Linked DNA regions of Drosophila melanogaster. The protein of the gene in region 3 interacts with the protein of the main gene of each other region in a pairwise test. Each region holds a gene or a part of one and is shown on either strand. Other genes may lie near its edges.

What was found.
Region 1: the proteins of trus (region 3) and CG12708 interact in a two-hybrid assay, tested with the Drosophila melanogaster proteins (one large-scale study listed by BioGRID).
Region 2: the proteins of trus (region 3) and tup interact in a two-hybrid assay, tested with the Drosophila melanogaster proteins (one large-scale study listed by BioGRID).

What each region holds. Positions count from the first base shown.
Region 1 is NC_004354.4:15,671,486-15,679,435, reverse strand, and holds CG12708 (uncharacterized protein), read right to left. Parts: upstream 3,961-7,950; 5' UTR 3,749-3,960; exon of another isoform or gene 3,633-3,748; intron 3,073-3,632; 5' UTR 3,030-3,072; coding exon 1,812-3,029; 3' UTR 1,699-1,811; downstream 1-1,698.
Region 2 is NT_033779.5:18,876,150-18,884,228, reverse strand, and holds the start of tup (tailup), read left to right. Parts: upstream 1-2,967; 5' UTR 2,968-3,433; coding exon 3,434-3,572; intron 3,573-8,079.
Region 3 is NT_033777.3:12,453,350-12,460,759, reverse strand, and holds trus (toys are us), read right to left. Parts: upstream 4,188-7,410; 5' UTR 4,137-4,187; coding exon 4,029-4,136; intron 3,962-4,028; coding exon 2,868-3,961; intron 2,809-2,867; coding exon 2,553-2,808; 3' UTR 2,316-2,552; downstream 1-2,315. Other genes in the region: Polr3C (RNA polymerase III subunit C), read right to left, coding at 1-231; CG5961 (uncharacterized protein), read left to right, coding at 872-1,560, 1,622-2,261; CG18549 (uncharacterized protein), read right to left, coding at 4,755-5,350, 5,418-5,875, 5,947-6,116.

The DNA.
Region 1 (7,950 bases), on a different chromosome or scaffold from region 3:
CTGCTTCGACTAACGCTCCACTCATTACTCGTCAACCATCCGAAACCGGAAGATATGTATAAAATGATATGATATGTGGTGGCAAGAATCCCAGCTAGGTACTTACTAGGGGTAAGTATCCGTTTCACTTTCAATCAAAACGAAATTAAAGAAATGCATGTTTAATGAGACGTTGCCGTCCGGAGCGGGAAAACTGGGCGCTGACGAATGAAAACATGGAACAATTCGGAAGCGGTCATTAGCCGGACGGACAAGAACCAGATAACAACAACAACAACCATAATAATAATAATAATAATAATAATAATAATAATGGGCAGGAGACCAGAGCAGCGCATTGTGGAAAACTAAAGAAAAGCGAGAGTCATAAAAAATAAAGTAACTACAACGGCGTGAACCTTCTTCTTCTTCTAACGATTCCTTTTGGGAAATTTTGGGAAAAGTTCAGAGCGCGGACGAGGGTTTGACAAGGGACCTGCCCTGATTTCGGCGGGTTATCCATATGTACATTTGCATGTATATCACGAATATTCCCTGGAGCGGGCTGCTTGACCGCTCGACCTTAGTTCGGCGATCGAAACTTGAGTTCTGGAGTTCGCCGGGTATCACATAATAAAGTATTTTACTTTGTTTTCCCTGTCACATGGCACAATGTACTCTGCACTGATGGTCAACCCATCATCTGCATAAGAAAGTTTCACGCTCTACTGAGCATTTGCCATGGGAAGTGGATGTGAATGTGGATTGGTGGTTCCTTGGCAGACGTGTTAACGCTTTTGGCTTAACCCACTCCTTTCGTCTCAAGGGTTGGACAAAATGTTATGACAGCTCATTTAACGCCGCGTCGCAGAAGTGGATTGCTGACCCATCGATCGCATGGCCTTGGATGGTTGGTGCCTGGCCGGGCTCCTTGGCATCCATCTGACCAGTTGGCTAATGGGCTAATGAGGCTCGCACGGCGGGATGCGATCCTTGGGGAGCGGGAGCTGTGGGAATGGCCTAGGTTCCATCTCAGCTGGAAGCCTAGTTATACAAACCGTTCGCTAACGAGTTATATTTCGTTTTTGGGCTACAAATTTTGTATCTTAATTATGTAAGGATTATCTACGAAACTGGGTTTGCTTCATAACTCATCACTATGATTTTATGATACCTTCAGAGAATAGTTTCCGCTGAAAGCAGTGGTAAATCGCAGTTTCCCGGGTGAAAGTTAGGCAACTTCCTTTTCCAAAGGTCGCTTTGAGCTAATAACACTCGAATGGAGTTCCGAGCAAGTGATACCTGTTCCATTTCCAGGTACTAGACCTTATCGCGTTAGATCGCACATAACTTGGCTGGCTGCCTGCCCATCGAATTCGTGGGCATTTGAAGCGTAAATAATATTTTTTTTCTTGCGACAATTGTCGCACAACCCCTTCCTTTTAGGGCCCTCATTACCGCCAAGTTCTATGTTCCATGTTGCCGAGGAATCCCCTATAGCTCGCTATCGGAGCATTAAAACGCTCATTAACCAGCTCGCTGTGAGAAAGAAGACCACTTGGGCAGACGGATGAGAAGACCCAGACCCTCTGCTCTGGAGGAATTGCTTTCCACGCACCGCTGAGCTTCAAGAGGTGTTTAGCATAAACTGCTGGTGGTTCCTTGTGGTTTCAACCGAATTATGACAGTGTGCCCCTCAGTGAATTTGGTTCTTTTCGTACATTCTGCATTCCAAATGATTTATTCTGGCCAAAAAATTAAAAAAAAAAAAAACGTTCTTAGGGCTATGAAAAAAATGTCTTATGCCTATGGTATAGGAATATCCTTGAGGATTAGCTTTCTTCCACCAGGGAGAAGCTGAGGCGTCTCTTCGTGGCGTCTCTGGCCTGCACTTGCAACCACATGGCATCCAGCTGACAGGCATCCTCCAGCTCCTCGCCACCCAACTCCAGTCCGCGACTCAGCTGGCAGTGCTCCTCCTCCAGCTCGCAGTCGCTGGTGGAATTGTGCCCACTGTCCGGACTGATGTGGCGCATCTTCTGGGCGGGAGCTGCTATGGATCCGGACCTGGCCGCTGCAAGCAGCTTCTGCGCCGACTGCCTGACGCTGGAGGAGATCTTTGTGGTGATCTTTCGCTTGCGCCGCACCACCCGCTGCCTGCGCAGCTGCAGGGAATGCCGCTTGGCATCCTGCGATTCGGATACGGTGGGCACGGGGGAGCGCACCTCCCGCTCCTCGAAGCCCTCCGCTGGCAGGGAATCCCTCCGCGAGGGCGACTTCCAGTACTCGCACAGATCGCTGGCCGGATCGAAGGCGGGGCGGTAGGTGGGCGATGGCGTCTGGGTGGGGCCGTGCCCGTGTCCGTGGCTGCTCCGGAGCACCTGCTGCCTGAGCCTGTGCCGCTGGCGGAGATGCTGCCTGGGCTGGCGGTGCTGATGCTGGTGCTGTTGCTGTCTGGCGTTGGGCAGCACCTTGCGGTTGCTCTCGAGGATGGCATCGATCATGCGCTCCAGGGTCACATCGCCCATCTGGCTGGAACTGAGCGTATTCTGTTCGCCGGTCGGAGGTGCTGGATGCGGATGCGGATGTGGTAGTGGCTTCTGCTCCAGGTAACGCGGCTTCTCGAAGTAGCTGTCCGGGATGCCCATGCCGCGCAGGGCGATCAGGGAGCCAGGAATGATGGCGGCATTGGGCGAGTACTCCGCCTCGAAGGTGGGCAGTGTGCAGGCGAACTTCAGGGGAACAGCAGTTACACCTCCAGTTGCCCCATTAGCGCCACTTGCTCCTCCCGATGGCGGCGTGGCCAGGATGTTGCTGAGGTCCTTGAGCAGTGGTGTGCGCGCATGGAGGCTCAAGGAGCTGGCCGGCAGTGGCGTGGAGGTCAGCTGGTTCTCCTTGCCTGGCGCCACTCCGATCGACTTCCTCTTGAGTTTGCCACGCAGGGCGTGGAACTCGCTGTAGCTGGAGCCGACTGCCTCGCTGCTGGTGGCCATCACCTCATCCCTGGCCAAGTACGAGGGTCGTGGCTGGTTGACGGCCCACTTGAGCATCTTCTTTGTCTGAAGTTTTAGTTTTTCGGTTTTGTAGTGGGTGCTGCAAGGAAAGAGCAAAGGAATCTGGTTAGGAAGGGGGCGGGTATTTCTGGTTCTGGCATTCCAGAACTTGACTTTCTTAAGGAGCAAATAAATAAAGAGGGCAGCGGCAAAGTTGTCGGGCGAGTTTTCGGCAATTTTGGCGCGCTTTTTCCGCGATAAATGTGCATGTAGACAAACATACATATATACATGCATATGTACATATGTATATGGATGTGTATCGATTTGGCGAAATCAGCGAAGCGGCAAAAATGAAATCAAAAACGAAATCAACCACTCCTCTCACGGACAATTAAATGGACGACGGGCAGCCTTTGGTCTGGACCTTAATAATTTAATTGACTCTGAACTTGATATGCTCAATTATTCTTATGAAATCTTAATGAACTTTTAGGTTGCATTCAAATTTGGCTCTTGAGTGGATACCAAAAAACCAAAAATCACAAGTTATCCGAAAAATTGAATTTTTGTGCATTTATAATTGCATTGATCCAGTTATGTTGGGAATTATTTGAAAAGATATTCATAACCATTAATGAATGAATTCATGAATCTTACAGGCACTTAAGTAATTTATTTTAGGTATATCCATTTATTTTTATGAGCCTTTAGATCTCATTGTACATGACTGCATTTTTAGTTTCAGTCATCTTTAGATGTTCACTTGAATTTACCTTTTTCAGTAGTTTATTTTTTTCGGCACTGATATTTATTTCCAACAGCAAAAAAATAAAATAAATGGTTCGCGGATTTATTTTAAGAATTGATTATTTGGTAGTTTGTATATGTAGTGCTTTTTTTTTGCCAAGTGTTGCGTTTCAACCGTCGCGTTTTTCTGGCAAAGATCGACTGCGTGCGTTCCCTTCGCCGGTTGTTGGTTGACTGACTGGCTAGCCGCCTTAACCGGGAGAAAGCAGAAGGCGACGAACGGACATGTTGCTCATGCGCAGAGGGAAGAGAGCGAGAGCGGAGAGATCAGGCAGTTGAACGGCAGGCACGTTCAACCGGCGGCATTGAAAGCGGGTGGTGGGAGACCACTCGTTGTTATAGTAATTAAAGGTATTTCGCATCTGATATCAGTCCACTTGACTTTAATAACTTATGCAAGATACTTTGCAACATTGATAATAATATAAATTATTTAAATAAGTTGTAATATTCGTATTTCTCACTTTTCCCATGATAACAACTATAACTAAAAGCATACCCTTTCAATACCTTTTATCGAATCTGGTATATATATATATATATATATACAATTACCTCTTCTCGTAGACTCGTACTTCCCAAAACTATCTAATATATTTCTATTTATTAGATAATGCGATACAAATTGAAAAGCAGAAGGCTGCGCTTTGATCTACATTAACGTTATCTTGATGTTCAGTTTTTATAACCGTTTACCGATCGATTTACGATCTGGCAACAGCTGTGCGAATTTTCCACGATCGTGAGATTTTTTATTTGGCCACCGAGAAGGATCATGATCAGTTGGCCAAGGATTCCTACGTGCAACAAGAAAGGGACGGCGCTTGTGAAGCGTGTGAGTGGGACGGAGCATAGTTGGACAGCTGTTCTCATCGCCGCTTGCGCCACAAAACATAATTTTCAATTACCTTTCTCGCAGCGTGTGGCTCCTTTCACCTTGGACTCCTCAAGATACCCTGTGTTTTTTTTGGGATCCTGAGAGTATGCTAGACCTGTGATTGTGTGGGTTACAGGAAGTTAGAACAAAACATTGGGTCTTAAAGGATTTTTAGTTTTTCATTTGATATTGAAAAGACTTTCTGTTGTTGTTTAAACAAGTTCATCGGAATAATGATTACAATTATTTAGTTTAATTGATGAAACTGTTTTGCATCATTTGCCAACTTTTTCTAACATAAATATATAAAAGGTTTAAATAATAGGTATCTTATAGTCGTTAGACCCTAGCAAGGCAATTCTTTCCGATTTTTCCTTCCTTCTCTCACGATTTTCGCCAAGAAAAGGACAACACAAACAGGAACTTTGGGCATTGTACAAATTTGGCCCATTGTTTATGGGACATCGCTGTCCTGTGGAAATTGTTGTGGAAAATTGTGCAATTGTTTTGCAATTTATTGGTTAAAGGGCTCCCGGTCCGTCCTGCTCCTACCTTCCCTCACTTTCCCTCCTGCTTTCTCTGCTGATCTCAAATTTATGATATTTTCGCAGCCGCCGATTGTCCGTTTGAGAAAAATAGAATTAAATCTCAACCGTACATCTGCCCAATTCTTCAGTTTTGGAATCTTTACTATTTGCTTTCGCCATATTATTGCTTGCTAAATTTATTTGACAGTTTTTGTGCAAAAACTAAACACAACTTTTTGTTCGCTGAGGAAGTGCCAGGACCTGCTTTAGCATTTCATATGACACTGCAGTTCCGGACCACCAAGTGCTATAGGATACAATTTATTGCAACTGGTGGTGGCACAATTAAATATGCTCAAGTGTTGTGAGTTCATCGAGTTCAAACAATGAGATCGTAAATATATCAGTCCCAAAGGGAATTTCCAAAAATACAAGACATCTTCATAGGTTAAATACCATCATAAGATGACAGAACGTTTTCTTTTTTAATACAGTATTTAATATCCACCTATTTTAAGGAAAAATCATTGCTGCATATATATATATTAGACATATTGAACCAATTTGAGTTCTTTACGACTTTTTCCCACAAACGTTTATTCAAATAAATCTCAAACCTTCGTTTCGCTAAATTGACATTCGGAAGGGGGGCACTACCTTCCCAGACCAAATTGAACTGGCCCTAATTTTCCATACCATTCATATGGATAAAACGTGAATATTCTGGACATGGATCAGCAGCTGAGTGACCAACGATAAATCTCGGGAAAAAAACGAAGCAAATTGAAATAAATCAATAATATTGGGCGGAGATCAAGGAAGATGGCCAGCAGCAGCTGCGTGCCCGAAGATCTGTGATCTTTCCAATAATAATCCGTGCCAGTCCTTCCCGAATCAATGGCAATTTAACGCATTGGTCACTGGCCAAAAAGGCCCAAGGATAATGCCGAAGGGATCGATGAGCGACAGCCAGAGCAGGCTACGAAGAAAAATAAGGAGAGGGTGACAAGGAAGATAAATTAGGGCAGGAGGAGCCCCTTTCCGCTTCTTCATTCCCATCATCCAGTTCCTCCTCCAGCCCAGCCGCTAATAAATTGCCCAACAATTGTGCAATTTTTCATAAGTCTAAGACTTCACGCTCCGATTTGCTACCGTTTTCCAATCGCTTTTCCCAATCAATGGCATTTTCTTACACACGTCGAAAAAATCTAGCTCTGGGTTTTTTCGAATTTGAACAACAATTTCATAAATAAAAGTTTTAGTACTATAGGTATTTTAAAAAGAAGACAAACTTTGGCTGCTAATGGAATCTTTCTGTATAATACATAATATTTGATTTGAAAATGGTTAAAAATCAGTCTTGAATGATATAGTAAATATTCAAACAATTCTTCAATGCCTGTTACTAGAATAATCCAGTTAACTGAAGTTTCCGCATAATCTTAATAAAATATGTGCCCATAAATCTAAACTAATGTATATCCTTTTCCTCTCTGTGCAGGATCCCATTCCGCTGGCCATCGTTGGAGAAACGTGCGGCGGCAAGGACATCTAGATAAAGTGAAAAGTGGGTAGGGAAAAGGTAATCTTGAATCACAAGCCGCACACTGATAGCGCCAGGACAGAGCGGCCGAGTTTTGAGGAAATCCGAGGAATCACACATAGGGACCCACAATGCACAATCCTTGGGCCGGACAGCTGTTCGCTCGGGGATTAGCACGGCTAGGCGAGCTCCTCTGCTCCCTCACCTTCTGCTTCTGCTTTCTCTCATTACTTTCGCCGGCGGGGCGCGCAAAATTATTAAAACCTGGCCCTGAATTATGGGCCATAATTTAGAATTTGTATTTGCTCAGAGCTTCCCTCTGGCTCCTTCGTCCTTCGTCCTTCTTCCTTCGATTTCCACTGCTTTCCCTTTTCTTCCGCTTTCCCACTCGATATGCCTGGCGGGCAATGGCAGGGGGTGGGGTTTGGTATTGGTGTGTCTGTGTGTGTTCACAGGACCCAGATCCTTTGATTGATTTGGGATCGCCGTGAAAAGCTGGCATCCATTGACAGGCAGGCACTTCAAGGACCAGAGGCTCTCGGATCGGCTTATTTGCCCAGGATCATGCGAAATGCCATGGAAAAGGATCTGCAGATCAATAGGTGATGCGAAACACAGGGAATAATTGGATCTGGCTAGGGAAGACTATATGGCGTATTGTTTAGACTGATTCTATTGTCAGTGCCTTGAATTTGGTATTTCGCAGCCTTAAATATTAAACATATTCGATTAATTCATAAATGATCAAAGTCGAAAGCATCAAGGATAAGTAATTTTGCATAAGGAAACTGCTTTTAAAGTTCTCATTAAAATATAGTATATATTTTCAGACTTACCGAATCCGCAGGATATAATTCTAAAAGTCACTCCTGACATCTTGCCAAACACTTCCCAAAATCAAATCTCAATCAATTTCGGAACATGTATATCAATCGCACAAATGATGATGGCCCAATGGAAGGTCCCTTGTGGGCCATTAATATTATATATGCCGATCGTTAGCCGGAGCATTTGTCAAGCATTATACGATGGAAATCCAAACTTGACAAATGCCAAGTGAAATGCCATGTGAGATGAATTGGAATGCAAAGCATTCGATTTCAATATCAACCCGATCGCTCCCGCTCCGGGGGGTGGGACGAGTTCAAATTGCCGGGCTAGTGGTGGTGCTACACTAGGTTTTCAAGTTCAGTCCAAGGGAATGTCCTTTCCGAGTCCCGA
Region 2 (8,079 bases), on a different chromosome or scaffold from region 3:
GGCTGAGATGCCACCCCCTATCAGCCCCCACCGCCCCCCCTCGACAACCGTGTAATCCGACCGCAACTACACATGGCAACGTTTATTCGGAATTCCATTTTACATCTGCCCCGGATCCGCCAAAAGTGCGAAAATTAAATGAGCCACAAGTCGGAGCGAAAGGACGAAGGACCTCCACACCTCTGTTTGTGTAGGTGTTTTTCCTAGTTTTCCTGCCCCTGTTTGCATAAATTTTTGCCCACTTCTTTTTGCCAAATGTTTTTCGAGGATTGAAAATTGCCTAAACCGTCGTTTGGATCGCATTTGGGCATATATTTGCATTTGCTTTGCGGTCTGGAAATAAACGAAATGGAATAAGTTGACCGGGCAGATGATGGCGAAAAATATCGGAATAAGCGAAAGTGAAACTTAAGAACGGTTTAAACTTATTTAATTAGGATCCATGAAAGGGCAAAATTCTAGGAACACAACGTAATCATTTGCATAAACGTAGAACTGCAATAAATATTATTTGCGCCCAAGGTTGCGATTTTGTATATATTTATTACAAGAATGCCACTCACCTTCATTTCAATCAATATATTTATTTTCTAGAAGATTGAAATCAATAACCATAACTCTTTGGGAAATGTACTGGAAAACCTTGAAATCTATATCTTTACTTATGTTAATTACAAATGACTATTTGAAATAAATAGTCAAGTTATACCATAAGTTCGATAATATAAATGCTTATACTATCCTACTAGAATAATTTAATATTTTGCATATAAGAGTATAATTACATATAATTACCTCCTGAAGCATTAGTGAAGCATCAAACAGAAACAACTCTATGCAATCTTCCTTATTAGCTGCCGCCAACAATTAAAGCCAAGTTAAGCTCGGTAGCTTAGCAATTAGGTCCAGGACAGTAAGTTGTCCAATGGCTAAGATCAGCCGTGGGCTTAAGCAGAAAAATGCATTAAACAATGGCTAATATAGCATGTCTGCTCAATTTCAATTAAACGAATCGAAACAAAACTATTTCAACCAACAAGTTAAACGTTGTTCCGACCATATCGATGCGCAGTGGCTTGAGTGACATGTCCTAATTCGTAAGCGTTGACTTTTACCGGCATTTCAATTAACCCAATTAATGGACGGGACCTAATTAAATTTTGAATTCATGTTGCCAGCAAACGCACACTCATCCAGCTGCCTAGTTGCCCCGCACACAGATACGCCGGCACACACACCCTCGCAGGCGAACACACAGACATCAGTCAGCTGTTTTCTGCTGGCCAGCTGTCGTTCGAGTGCGAAGGAGATGGCGCGAAAGCCTCGCAATTCGGGGGTGGTTGGGGTACTGTTGGGGGTGGCAGAGGATGGTGTTGGATGGTAGCAAGGGGGTGGCTCGCTGTAACAAGTATGTACTAATGTCGGCGTCTGGCTAACTGAGACACGGCTATGAATGAGTGCCCCAAACGGAGCAAGCGGGCCACTGAAACTGTAGCTCGATGACCTTGATTATACAACACAGCAGCAGCGCCACCACCCCCCAAACCAGCTCAAACTCTACCAGACCCACAAGCAGCCCTGTTCGCAGCAGGGCCACTCCTTCAAAATACCCTACGTCAAATAAAAATGGCAAAAAAGTAGTCAGAGGCTACAGACACTCGAAAAAATAATAAGGAAATCTAACTAAATTGTACAGTAACACAATATGTTTATGATGTTAAACTTAAAATATTATAAAACTAGATTGTATCTCTATCACATATTCTATATAATTTAGAAATGTGCACATTTAAGTAAAATAATTTACCACCACAACTCATCTTAAACTTCTTCCTGGCCTACAGATAAGCATTCTTCAAAATTGCTTAAACAAGCTTTTCTTCGAGTGCACCCCAAGAGTCGGTGATGGTAACTGGTAACTGACATTACAACAAATCATCGGCCAGCAAATGTTGGCAACTGGGTGCCAAGTCAACGAACTGCTAACCGCAACACAGACACCGACCGCCACCCACTCGAACACATATATAAATTGCCGTACGGGGGCGTCATTAAAATTGCAACAGGGCCTTGAAGGAGCAACAGAGCAACAGGGGGGGAGGGGGTGGAGATTGGAGCGCTCCCCAAAAGACCAGAAGACGAAATCAAAAGATCAATAATTATTATGATGTTGCAGCACACCCGAAACGAGACGCCTTCAGACCGCAGAGCCAAGTCAAGACGGGCAGGTGAGACAAGGGGGGCGGAAAGGGGCGAAAAGGGGAGCCCCAAAAGCGGAGGGGCTACAGCCGAAAAGTTCGACAAGCGCATTACAACAGTTCGGGGGTAGAAAGACAGACGACGGATGAAGAGTGGGGTAGGGTTGGCCAGGGGGGTGCGCTTGCTTACAAGTGCAACCATTTTGTAGTACAAACTTCGAAAACCAAAAGCGAAATTGGCAAAACAAAAGGCCAGCGAAGGGAGCGAGGATGTGGGCCCACCTCCTGACTGCCTCCATTTGTGGATTGTGGATCCCGCAGCCACAGCTGGAGTCGGTCATGCGCACTCCGTCCAACCGATTGGCCCGCTTCGCCGCCATTTAGAAAAGGCCCACCAAGTGGAAGCGAAAGAGATGGGCTTGCTGCCAGAAAAGGACGGAGCGTGAGAGCGCTGCCCGCAGAGCGAGTGCGACAAAAACACCTGTTCCTGTTTCGAACTCCCCCCCCCCTGCAGGCCGTCAGTCCATCGAGTCGGCTATCCGCTATCGGCTATCCGAGAAGTACACGCAGAACTGGCTCGGAACCGGTTGCAGCTGCACCAGTGCCACACCAGTTCCCTACCCTTGCGGAGCGACGAGCTAGTCGCACTGCTCTCGCAGGCAGAATGTATCTGCGAGATACATTTCGGGGTGAGTGGCTGGCTGGCTCGCTAGCTCGCTGGCTCCCTGGCGTGCGGATAACGTACGGCAAACGGAACGAAGCGCCGACCGGTTTAGTCGTTCAGCAGTCTCCGTGCAGTGAGCATGTTTGTGCGCCAGACATCGTCGTTGGTCGGTTGTCGTCATCGCTACTATATAGCCGTCGTATCGCGAACATCGACCGTCTTAGCTCGATAGCCGTCGGATTTGCCTTTTCGGATGCGAGAGACTCTTAAATCCCTCACCATAGATCCAAATCCCTGCGAACAAAACGCGTGTGCGCACACGGATCACACAGCCGTGATAATCCCGCTAAATTCGCCGAAAACCCAGTGCTCTGTGTCCCGGTCTCATATTGAGTAATTCAAGCAAACTTCACGGAATAAGTAAACCAGTACAAGTGCCTTACACAAATATCCCTGCTCAATGCCGGAAACTTCTTGAGTACGGCCCAAAACGAAAAGGCGCCCGCTCTCAAGATTCCCAGCCCACAAATATCTCGAGTGTGCTTCGCCGAGTGTCCTGTCAGCCAAATATATGGTAATGGCAGAGATTGGTGGCCATTTGGCTCACCAGCTACCGTTGCACAATCACAACCACAATCAAACTGGATTACAGCCATCGCTGGTGATGAACCATCACCTGGATTTGGATTGCCATGGACACGATGTGATAAGTGAGTACCGATATTCAAGGGCTGCTGGCTTTCCGATTTCGGGCTATTTGGGCTGCATCCTTGAAAAGGACGATATTTAATACTGGAGATAGCACGATCACTTACCTAGGGACAGTCTTAAAAAAAGAACAATGGAATGCCCTTCCACAGTTTGGATATGAGGCTATTGTATCTTCTAGATACATTTGTTGGTTCTAAGTACTTTCGGTCTGTTTAAGAAGGCATTACAGTTTTTTTCCTTAGTTCCCTTAGATTTAAAATTTGGATTTAAATAAATGTCCTGACAAATAACTTAGAGGCTAATAGGGGTTTAGTCTAAAAAAGCGCTTTGTTGATCCACTGTAAACCAAGATTAAATTGCATTTTAAATCAACCTATTCAGAAATTGTATACCTGCAATTGAAACATCATTACATAGATCACGCATCAGTGTCGAATCATTTGCCGCTAATAAAGCTATTTAAAGCAGTTAATGACTTATTTATGGCTATTGTCCTAGTCCCCAAACAAAAATTGGCAAATTAAATAGTCATTAAACAAGAGCCACTGATGGGTAACTTTCTCGATTCGTAAATATGGAAAATGAACGAGGAAAGCCCGCTTTGGACATTAAAAGCCAATAAAATAAGTAAAAAGCCGTGTTAACAAATGCTCGCACCCAAATCACAGTTGTAAACTTGTCTTGCTTATTTTTGAAACATTTTAATGCCCACCATTTTAAATTCCAGATATCAGAGATCAAGGCTCGGACTCAAAGGTTCCGAGCTTTAAAACCATGAACTGTTAGTCAAGTTTATTTGTAACGAAGGTCGAAGTTATTTTTATACCAAAATCATTAAAAAGTTCAGGCACGCGTTGAACTCTTTCATACCTTGAGTTTTTAATTTTGCCAATGGATGTGATGTGAGCAAGGCTGCGCTAAAGTAATTACAAACAAATTAAAGTGATACCAAGAAAATACGAATCCATAAATAATTTTTATTGTGCCATTCTTTTGTCAAATTGGAGGATCTTTTTTTTTGTATATTGAACGACTTTCTGAGGTTCTATCTTTAGGTTCGGGATTTCTTTCGGGCCACAGTCGTTAGCCGACTTGTCGCTGCAGCTTTTGTAATGGGCTTAGACCCTATCTCGACCTGTCACTTGTTGTTTCAGTACGGCAATAACTGTTAAATTATAGCCGTATTTTATTTTAAGCACACTTTACATATTATATAGAAGCCAATTAACGGTTGAATGACATTTTAATGCTGAGCAATTAAGCGCGCAAGCAAAGCGGGCAAGCAATTGCATGAAAAAAGCTGAAAAGAGCTGGAAATGTATCACAAATGTATCTCATGCGATAATGTGACAAATTTTTAACTAGCCTAAAGTTTGTTAACCAAAATGCATTTTATGAATTCATAAACCAAGAGTGTCATTAAAAAATGCCATCCGTGTGTGACAGAAAGAGGAATATATTTTATTCAAATTTTATTTCGTATGCTAAATTGTGACAAATGTTTTGGCTGACAGTTGTCTAACCAAACGAACGACCGCAGAACACAAAAAAGCCAAACAAAAATTCCGAAAAAAAAAGGAAAACATGAAAAATCATAATCATAAGCACATATACTACATACAATGGGTTCGGGGAAATTGAATTATATATGAGGCTGGAATAATGCAGCACATGCAGTTGTAGCTGCGAATCATTTAAATTGCATTGAATTTTAGTAATTGTAATTTAAATTCAAATTAGTTGTCGGCCATGGAGCGCTGGTAAATATTTAATGTCCGAACATTTTAATTTGAAAACTTTTCACAAAGTTTCCTCCCCATCGCTCTGCTTAGTTGCTCTGTGAGTTAGTTGGCGGCTGACAAAACTTTAAGTTAGAGTTTTCCAGCTTCAAGTTGATATTTGAAATGAAAACAATTTTTGTAGTTTTCGTTTCGTCCCCCCCCCCTCTAGTATCAGCCAGCTCCACTCTCTTTTGTTAGTTCGCTTGGTTCCGAGGCGAGTTTTGTTTGTTTGTTGATTTTTGAGCGCTGTAAACATTTTAATGAGTTTTCCATGTCACAGACCCAGGCCTCCAGTCAACATGTCGTTGGCAACTTCTCAAGTAGTCGTTAAATTAATTAAATATAGTAAAAACAAAAAGAAATCGCCATCTGAAGTATCTGAAGAGCCTTTGTTTACTCTCCGTGCTCTATAGAAAATTATGTAAGTCCGAGATCGCTGCATACATCAGGGCGTTGAACTAGTTTCGGTTTTTCATGTTGGCGGCTGCCATAAAATTGTACCACTTTATGTTGAAGACCATCAAAAATTGACAATTATTTGCGGCCATAAAAGCCAAGCGATTTTTATTTTTATAGTTAACCAATTAGCCAAAAATTTGAATAAAATGCGAAGCGGGGGTGGCACGGATTTTCCCCTTACTCGTCGTACACATGTTCCCTAATCTAATTCATATTAATTCCATTTAAATTTCTCGCCAGCAAATTCACCGAATGCTAATTGGCATTTTCGATGAATAAACACAAAACCTTTCGAAAGTTAATTGTGAAAAATGGATTGGGCAAATGTTTAGCCAATGCACAAAAAGTTGAAATAATTTTTCGAATAATTTGTAAAGTGTCAATCGTCGGCCATATAAGGTTAAGTCGTCTGCGAACGAAAGAGAATGGAACCGAGTTTTCAGATGAGGCTGGTTATTTAGCCATAGATCACCGATCTCAGATCTCTTGGTTATTTATAGAGCTGCTGAAACGTCAGTGAAAGGAAAAGATGTTTCGTATACGCAACGCGATTCGATTTAGAGTGCCATAAAATTAACTATATTACCATTCTAAACATGCTTCGATCGATTTCGTTTGGAGTTTTTTGTTGTTTTTGATAGTTTCGTATTGGAAGATTCACTGGGTTAAGGTTGGAAATTGATTGAATATTTGCTTGAATAGTCATAGCGCTAGGTTTGTTATTCTTTCATATCATTTTTTGGCCTAACTTTAAGTGCATAACAACACAAAAACAATACGACAGTGGTGACGTCAGGAGGGAGCCACACCCATTAGTTCGAAAAAGGCAGACAGACGTTATCTATATTTTACGAGTTCCTATCCAAATTCCTGTTGTCCCTGGCTGACATTTTTTGCTTGCCTTCCCGTTTCCGGTGTGATTTTTATTTCGGAATCCCTGCTGCTGCTGCTTGGGGTGTGATAAAGTTATTTAGGCGCAATCCATAAATTCCCGACCTGAACCCAAAGGCCCAAAAAGGCAGCGCAGACAGAAACGTAAATCCCAAAGCTTATCTGATTTTGCACTTCGGTACCCGGCACTAGATCAATATGTTATGTTGGCCGGAGTTTTGGCTTGGCCCATACCTGAGATTCGGACCCAAGACAGCAGTGCGCCTGCGCCCAGTGTCACCAGTCCAGTTCCCCCTCGCCCTCGATATTCCCTGACATCATTTGAAATCTGTGCCCGATGTGCCAAAAAAAAAATCAGGTCTAGAAGACAGTTGGCAGCCATCAAAACAACTCTCAGCCTCCTGCGTCCAGGTATTCTCTCAATTCACCTCAGAGTCTTGGCTGCTTTGCATTAATTAACAGCTCGCTGGGTCGAGAAATTAGGGAATTATGCCTGGAATTTCCGTTCGCCACATAAAAACAGTTGTCTGATTAACTGATTAGCTTAGAAAGAGGCTTAGATGATCATGAAGATGGGCAGAAATAGTGGGTGCTTGAAAATTGCATCACTGCAGGAATGGCAATTACAATTCAAAGTACACATTATATATTAAGTAAAACTGTAGAATATTACTTTACATTCAACACCATTTATTTAGTTTGCCCTCAAAAAGCAAAGCCTTAAACTTTAAGTTTTACGAGCACTTTAAGTCAAGTGGATGCTGCTAACTTTAAGTATCGATGTGATTGCACAGCCTCGACCTGATTAAAGTACTGACTCGAAAAAAGGCTAAATATTCCATATTCCATGTTATTTTCGAGCTAAAATGTTTTTAAAGCCCAGTGATTCCGTCGAAGCTCTCTAACCTAATTAATGCAATTCAAGATATTCTTAAAGCCCTCGCCTGCTGGAATTGGGCATATTAAAGCAGCCGCCTGACTATTAAAGTGCAATTAAATTTTTTTTTTAATTCTCCGTGCCTTTTTCCCTCTCGCATTTTTGAAAAGTTCATTCAAGGTGTCAGCAGCTTGTCAAGGTGAGAGGCGGCTACTGTTTGCTCGGCTGTAGAAAAATATTAAATTTCAGCTGGGGAAATCGCCGCGAGAAGCCATGAGGGAGAAACCAGAGAAGCGGAGAACTGATAAATGTGCAGGCCAGAAATTAGTCGGGAGTTAACCAGGCCACAAAATAAGGGAACAACTGACGGCCACGCCCGTTTATCGCGTGAGGACTTGGAAAACAGGAGGAGCCCCAGAGCTCCAGGGCGCGGGAAATCGAGGGAAAGGCGAAAGGGAAAATGGGGGAAACTCGTGCCTCTCTCCAGGCGCTCATTAA
Region 3 (7,410 bases):
GTACTCCGCCAGGAAGGGGTTTGCCTTGGAGGCGGCAAAGTCCACCAGCCTGAACTTGACCAGCACCGCCAGCGCAAATGCCACTTCCTTCCTCGACAACTTGGTGGCACTGGTGATCTGTCCCAGGGTCCTCGTGGTGGCCGAAAAGAGGCAGTCGGCCACCGCCTGCACCACCTTGCCAAAGCACTGCTCCAGGATGGCGGAGCTCAGATGGGAGTAGTCGGCTGACATGGTTCCTAAAATTCCATTTTAATAAACCACTTTAATTTTTAATATCACTTTTTACCTGCTGATAGTGCGAATCAGCAAATGAGCAACCAAAACAAAACAGAACCGCGTTGAAGTCAGCTGTTTTTAAATATTTATCGAATATGCATATGATATGATATCGATTTTCAAATTGATCTTTAGTAATTGTAAATATCTTTATAGAATACTAATTAGAAGCACATTTTGGGAGAATTTCGCTTAAATATAACCTTTTTGAAATTGACGAAATCAGTAAGTCAATGTTTAAAGAAGAGCGTTTATAAGAATTACTTCTTAAGCAAATGCGTGCACACTGTAAACAATAACATTAGTGTAGAAGTGTTCTCGTTTGCGTATTTGAATACTCTTAATCTTGGGGTCTTACCAATGGCCACATGTTGCTCCCAGTTGCATACAACTACGAAATTCTGGGGTGAAGCCCGCGCCCAAAATCAGCAATACGCGCGGCCCTTTATTATAAGTTCTATTTTGTTACCAACTTCCGTACCTTTCCACATCGAATACTAAAATCTTTCAGGTTAGAAATTGCGTTAGATAAATGCGCAGATGTTTATAATCTACGATCTGATTGGCATTCGCAGACTAGTTTCTAGCTCTAATCATGTCGGATGTGGACTCGGATGGCGAGGAGCCAACCCGGAAAACGGGCACCAATGCACTGGATGAGTTCCGGGAGAACTGGCAGCGGGAGCTGCAGGAACACACAACAAACACTGGATCCAGGAGCCATTCCGAGGCTGGAGATCGCCTCACGGCGGCCAATTCCAATCTCAGCGAGGCTGATCTACTGCAGGCCAAGGCGGAGAGTCTCTATCGGACCGCTGTGCAGCTGGAGCAGCGTGGCAAGGTCTACGACGCACTACCCTTCTACAGGAAGGCCACCCAAATCGTTCCGGATATTGAGTTCAGGTTCTACGAGCAGCAGAAGCAAAAGCTCAGCAACGATGTCAGCAAGAAGTACCTCAATCTGGCTAACGATTTGGCCAAGCAATTGGATCTAGGTCAGTCGGATGGGGAGGAGGTCGTGGACAACCTGTACGAAAAGTTCCAGCATGATTTGCGTCAGAAAAACATTTACAATGGCAAGATGATAGCATCCAGCCGTGATGCCAATGTCCTGACCACCGGTCTGCACTTTGCCGACCTGCCGCCCGAGATTGTGATGCGCATCCTGCGCTGGGTGGTTTCCGCCCAACTGGACATGCGCTCGCTAGAGCAGTGCGCTGCTGTTTGCAAAGGTTTCTATGTCTACGCGCGGGATGAGGAGCTCTGGAGGCTAGCTTGTGTCAAGTAAGTTACTCTTTCAAATAACGCCTAAGATTCAATGAACCTATCGTAATTTTCTGTATAGAGTATGGGGCCACAACGTTGGAACTCTAGAGGCCCAGGATTCGGATGTAAGCAACGTGTTCCACTCCTGGCGAGACATGTTCATCCGCCGAGACCGAGTTCTTTTCAACGGCTGCTACATCAGCAAGACTACGTACCTGAGAATGGGCGAGAACAGCTTCCAGGATCAGTTCTACCGTCCTGTGCAACTGGTGGAGTACTATCGCTACATTCGCTTTCTGCCCGATGGCAAGGTGCTGATGATGACGACTGCCGATGAGCCGGCGCAAGGTGTATCCAAACTGAAGCACGTGAACAACGTACGGGCGGAAATGCTTCGGGGTCGCTATCGTCTCTTCGGGAGCACAGTCACTCTGGTGCTGCAAAAGTCGCAGCAGCGAGGGCCGGCTAACGTGCGGCAGAGGCGAGGGAGTATCATGCCAGTGGATGAGGACTCCTCACAGTTCCTGATCGAGCTGCGCATCGCAGGCACCACCAAGCGCCGATGCGCCCAGTTGGTTTGGTCACATTACACGCTCGTGCAGAAGCGCAACAAGGTGGACATCAGCTCCGAGTTCGATTTGACCGAGGCCAAATATCCGGCGCTGAGGTTCTCAACCGTAAAGAGCTACCATCTTGATGCTGATGCACCATTGGCTTAGGTTAATTAGAATTAGAATGGATTTCTGCAAGTTGGAAATAAAACAATATGTTTTGAAACCCTTTTAGAGGGGGAGTGGAAATAACGAGATATTATTAGCAACTATCCATTTTTGGAGTGTCTAAAAGCTTACAACGTTCTTAACAACTAGAGCATAAAATCTTCCTAGGACAATCGAGAAGCTTAGCTTTATCTCTGCAGTTTGCGTTTAAAATTCGTTGCACCAGTCTGCAATCGTAGCGGCTACAGCGAATGACTCTAATGGCTTTGGGAAATGGCCGTGTACGGCACCTTAAGTTTCAGACTGAACCACAATATGTTCGTAGCGCATCAGGTCGGGTGTGTCCCAGCAGCTCTTGAGGCAGGTGAAGACCAGCACGTTGCCAAACTCGATTGGTGCATTGCAACCGTTCACCTGGAACCGCAGCTTGGGAATCAGTGTGGGCAGCAGCTGCACCTCGCAGATGGTCTCTCCCCTGCAATTCTGGCACTTGGGCAGAGGTTCCGTGAACGGGGCCACCAACAGCGGGATCGTATCCCGCGAATATCTGAAGCAGAACAACTTGGGTAAGAGGAAAGTTAATGAGGATAGAAGTACAATGTTTACCTCAACAGCTGGCCCGGATTCTGATGGATGGTAGTGATAAAGTTGTGAAACACCAAATCGCCATGGGCTGGCAATGCCTTCTCGTAGGACTCGTTCTCATCGCCCTGCTCTCCTGGTCCAGATGCACCGCCGGTCGGTGACTGACCCGGATTCTGGTCTCTCAGCTTGTACTCCTGATACAAATCACGAATGTGGTCCATGGACAAAGCGCCTCCGAAGTTTTCGTACTCCTCCGCCTGGGTCTTGTTCTCTACATCGACGGCAATATAGTAAGACTTTAGCGTTAGGTCCTTGATCTGCGACAGCGCACCCGAGGTGTGCTTCAACAAGGCAATCAGGTCGCGTTCCGGCTTCTTGGGCGTGTCGACCAGCACCAGATCCGTTTCGGGACCCTCGATCTCAGCACCAATGGCCGCTGAGGCGGCACTGGCTCCAGCTCCATCCAAACTGGGAGCGGCGGCCGCTGCACAATTAGCATTTGGATCATCGTCGGCGTTTTGCGGCGAGATCATGTCCATTTGATGAAAGCCAGAGATCAATTCGTTCTCCAGCGAAGTGCTCTCGTCCTCGTCGTCGTCATCATCGGCGGCAATCTTTACCTGCTCAAGTTTGGCTGGTTCATCTATTTGGATGTCTGACTTGGCGTACTGCAGGGCATTCGGTCGCACATTGCCATTCCGTTCGTTCTGGTCGTCGTCCGCGGTGATGTCCATAGCCTCGTCCAATGCCACGGAGATGGTCTTGGCCTGTTCGGTTGCTCCACCACTGCTGTCGCCCCAGTCGTCCGCTCCACTACACCAGCTGATAGCCTGCAATCCGCTCGACTTCCCCTTTTTTTTGGAGTTCTGCTTCTTAGTTGGCGTTGCCTTCGGCGAATGCTCACTGATCACCTCGTACTGGTGGTCCAGGTGCTGAGTGCGCACACAACACCAGCTCTTTGAATTCTGAGAGCAAACTGGGTTCATGCATCCAAAAACGTAAAGGCTGCGATGGAATTGGGAGCGATCCAGCGGGGCGTACATCTGCACGATCAGTGGACGCACTGCACCGCACAGCGGGCATGACGGAATGGTCACCTCGTGTCTGGGCCAATCCTGTGGGTAAAAATCAATTTCAATTATCCGCTGCCTCTATTGAAGTCGATGCAATCGCCTATCTTACGGGTGTGCCACCGATTTTGTTTGTGCAACTGTTCAGGAGCTGCTCCTGCTTGGCCGTAACCTCCTCATCCTCGTATCCTAGGTACACAGTCGACTTATTCTTGGCCATTTTTCATGGTTTCATTCAAGTCTTTCAAAATTGAATGATTTCTTTTAGGAATGGGCGAAATGAGTGCTCATGGGCAGACAACCGATAGTTGCACATGGTACTATCGATTTTAAAAGATATCGACTCATCGTAATCGAGTGTGCGAATTTCAAAGTATGAAATCTAGGCAGTTCAAAAATATATCAAATAGTTGAAAAATGAAATAAAAGCACAAAATTCTATTATTAATGAGTAGCACACAAGTAAGATCCATAACAACTATTATTTTCTTAAAATTCGTTATATATTTCTTATAATACTCCAAATTTGTGGTTTACTATCTTATATTTGCACAATCGCCGCTTAAAATAAATAAACGCACATATACAATACACACATATAAAAACATAGACAACTAGATTACAATTACGTTTTTTGGAATGCCAACATTAAAATACGTATATTTAGCAACAATAGCGCGCAACAACACTTATCAGTTATTGTCTAGGAAGACGACGCAGTCGCACGGATTTAAAGCATTCCGAGGAATTTAACAAACACGGACAAATGGCCCTAGCCCTAGAGTTCTAACAAGAACCTGCATCTAATACTCTAGATCCTCTGAGTCCCACAACGGAATTACTTCTCCAACGCCTCCTGCTCGCGGTGCTGCCGCTTGAAGCCCCACTCTACGAAGACGAAGGCAATGGTGCCAATGGTTCCCATAACCACCAGGATGCCCAGCTGCACGTACAGCCCGAAGTGCGAGGAGTAGAAGAAGCTAATGGCCGCCGCCACCGACTGGGTGAACTTGAACAGGGCAAAGGCTCCCACGGCATTGTTCACATACTCCCCGCCAAGCATGGAGTAGATCTGAGTGTTGAAACAGGCATCGCCCAGGCCCAAAAGGAAGGCACACACCAAGGCGATGCTGGCTCGGGGCGGGTCCAGATAGGATATATCGGTGGTATCTTTAAACGGTGCACTGTTCGGCAGGTTGATGAACGTCATGAAGAAGGCTGCCATGTGCATCACATAGCCGGCAATCACGATGGGATCGCGTCCATATCTCGTCGTCTTGTTGCCCAGTATGCCGAATAGTCCTCCTCCAAAGACCTCGCCGGCTCCAATGCAAATGCCCACCAGTCCAACGATCTCCTTCGGTGTTTCGGCTATTTTCGTGGTGAATCCAATCGCTGATCCAAAAACTCCGCTAAAGAATGACAGCTCCAGGCCTAGAAAGTTATGTTTAAGCACTTAGTATCTCTGATTCTATTCAGTTTTGACCACAATCCAACCCACCTGTGTAAAAGAAGGCCAGACTAAGGAGCAGCATCTTTTTGGTGAGGAACAATTGTCCTGCGGACTTCAATGCGTATATGGCCTGTCCACAGCCCGTGTGCTTCTGTTCCAGCTCGTTGTCGTGCTCGGCATTATCGGCCATGAATCTCAGTGCGGCCAGAAACACGATGCCCAGCACAGCAATTACCGTGAGCACGCCGATGACCAGATTCCGTGTCTCCTTGTCGATGCGGGTCTTGTCCTGGAACTGATAGTACACGAACAGATTCCCAATGAACATGCTGCACTGCAGCAGGGCCCAGAAGACGCCAGAGTTACGGGAAATCGTGGAAGATTCACTGCAGCGCGCCAGATACGTTCCCTGTCCCGTCCAAGTGATCGAGGCACCCAATCCCAGCACTGCGCTGCCCACGTACAGCAATACCGTCGACGGGAACATGAACGTGATCATGAAGGCTCTGCAAAAGAGTTTCAAATGTTTTAGGTACCAAAATGTATGAGTCGGACCGGTGGGGGGGTATATACTCACGTATAGGTCAGTGCTCCCACGACCATGGCCACTCGTGGTCCGGTGAACGAAATGAACGAGGGTGCCAGCCAATTGGAGAGCGAGAAGAACAGGTAGATAATGGCCAGGCTGGTGTAGCCCTCACCCTTGAAGGTATCATCTTCCTGGGAAATGCTATCCAGTATGGTTTTCTACAGATTGAGAGAACGTATTGAAAGTTGAAGCGATTAGCATTTTGGTAACGTGCCAGACACATTTTTTGACGATTGCATGCCAATGAACCGACGGCCGACGCATTTGTTTAATGTTTCTCTTTAAATGTTATACGATAAACGTGTTCTCGGCTCAAGTACGCATAATACAGGTATTTCCTGTCCGGATACGTTATGAAGGCACAATCTCCTTAAAATAAAACCCCAACCAAAGCAGATTGAACTGACTTAAAACTAAGTTGGGCCTGAATTGTTATCTGTTCGGATTAAATATCAAGCATATTTATATTTATAGGTATATGTTCGGTTCATTATACATCCCAAGCCAATTTAGTTATGAAGTCTATCTTTAAGATCTTATGCTTATTAGACTTTCTGAAATTCAGTGATCAAAGAAAGTTTAAAATTGAAATTGTTTCCTATATTGAAAACATAATGATTCATATATCTCATACTCTTTGGAGCGTTGGAAAAACAACTGCAGCTATTGAACAAAAATTAATATGAATCGACTTGGATCTGCAACCAGATTCAGGGTTAACTTTACAATTCTTGTGAATGTCAATGGAAAATTCCAAGCTGCATTTGCAAAACATGTTTGCGTTCGAGTCTAAAAATTTTCCATTCCAAAGGACGCATCTCGGCAAATGTCGAGTGATATCGTTATCTGAGCGAAAAACTCTGATTCTGATTTCTATTTGCATCAATTAAGTGGCGCTGCAAATCTGGTCCGGTCCTCGTGCCCATTTTGAAGTTCAACTCGAGAGGTTGCACCCGCTGATAATGTTTTAGAAGTGCCCCATTGAAATATAGCCATTAATGAGCAAGTGAAAGTCAAGAACTTAAGTGTCTGCAGTCGAGAAGCGGAACTGATTTGCCAATGAAAACGTTTTGTGACCCTGGGAGTTCAGGAAGTGTTTAGTAAATCTTTCTATGGAAAGTGGTTAATCTATTTGGTTATTTCTAATGTATGAAAAAAAACTAATGTTTATGGCGCACTGTTGTAGGGTAGCATAAGCGATCGTTGTTGTTGATAAGAAATCTCGAGTTTCAAGTGCAGCTATTCCTTATCAATGAAAATTTGTTAATGATCTCCTCATTATCAAATCGACGGACATAAAACCGAGAATTGGGTCAAGTTTTGAGCAAACATGGCCCAAAAGAAAGTCGAAGTGCAATAAAGAAAGTACAATGCGTACGCGGAATTGCAGGAGAATGCGCTGAATAACTTATTAAGTCGATCGTCACATTGCTTTTTGCTATTTATTAGGCA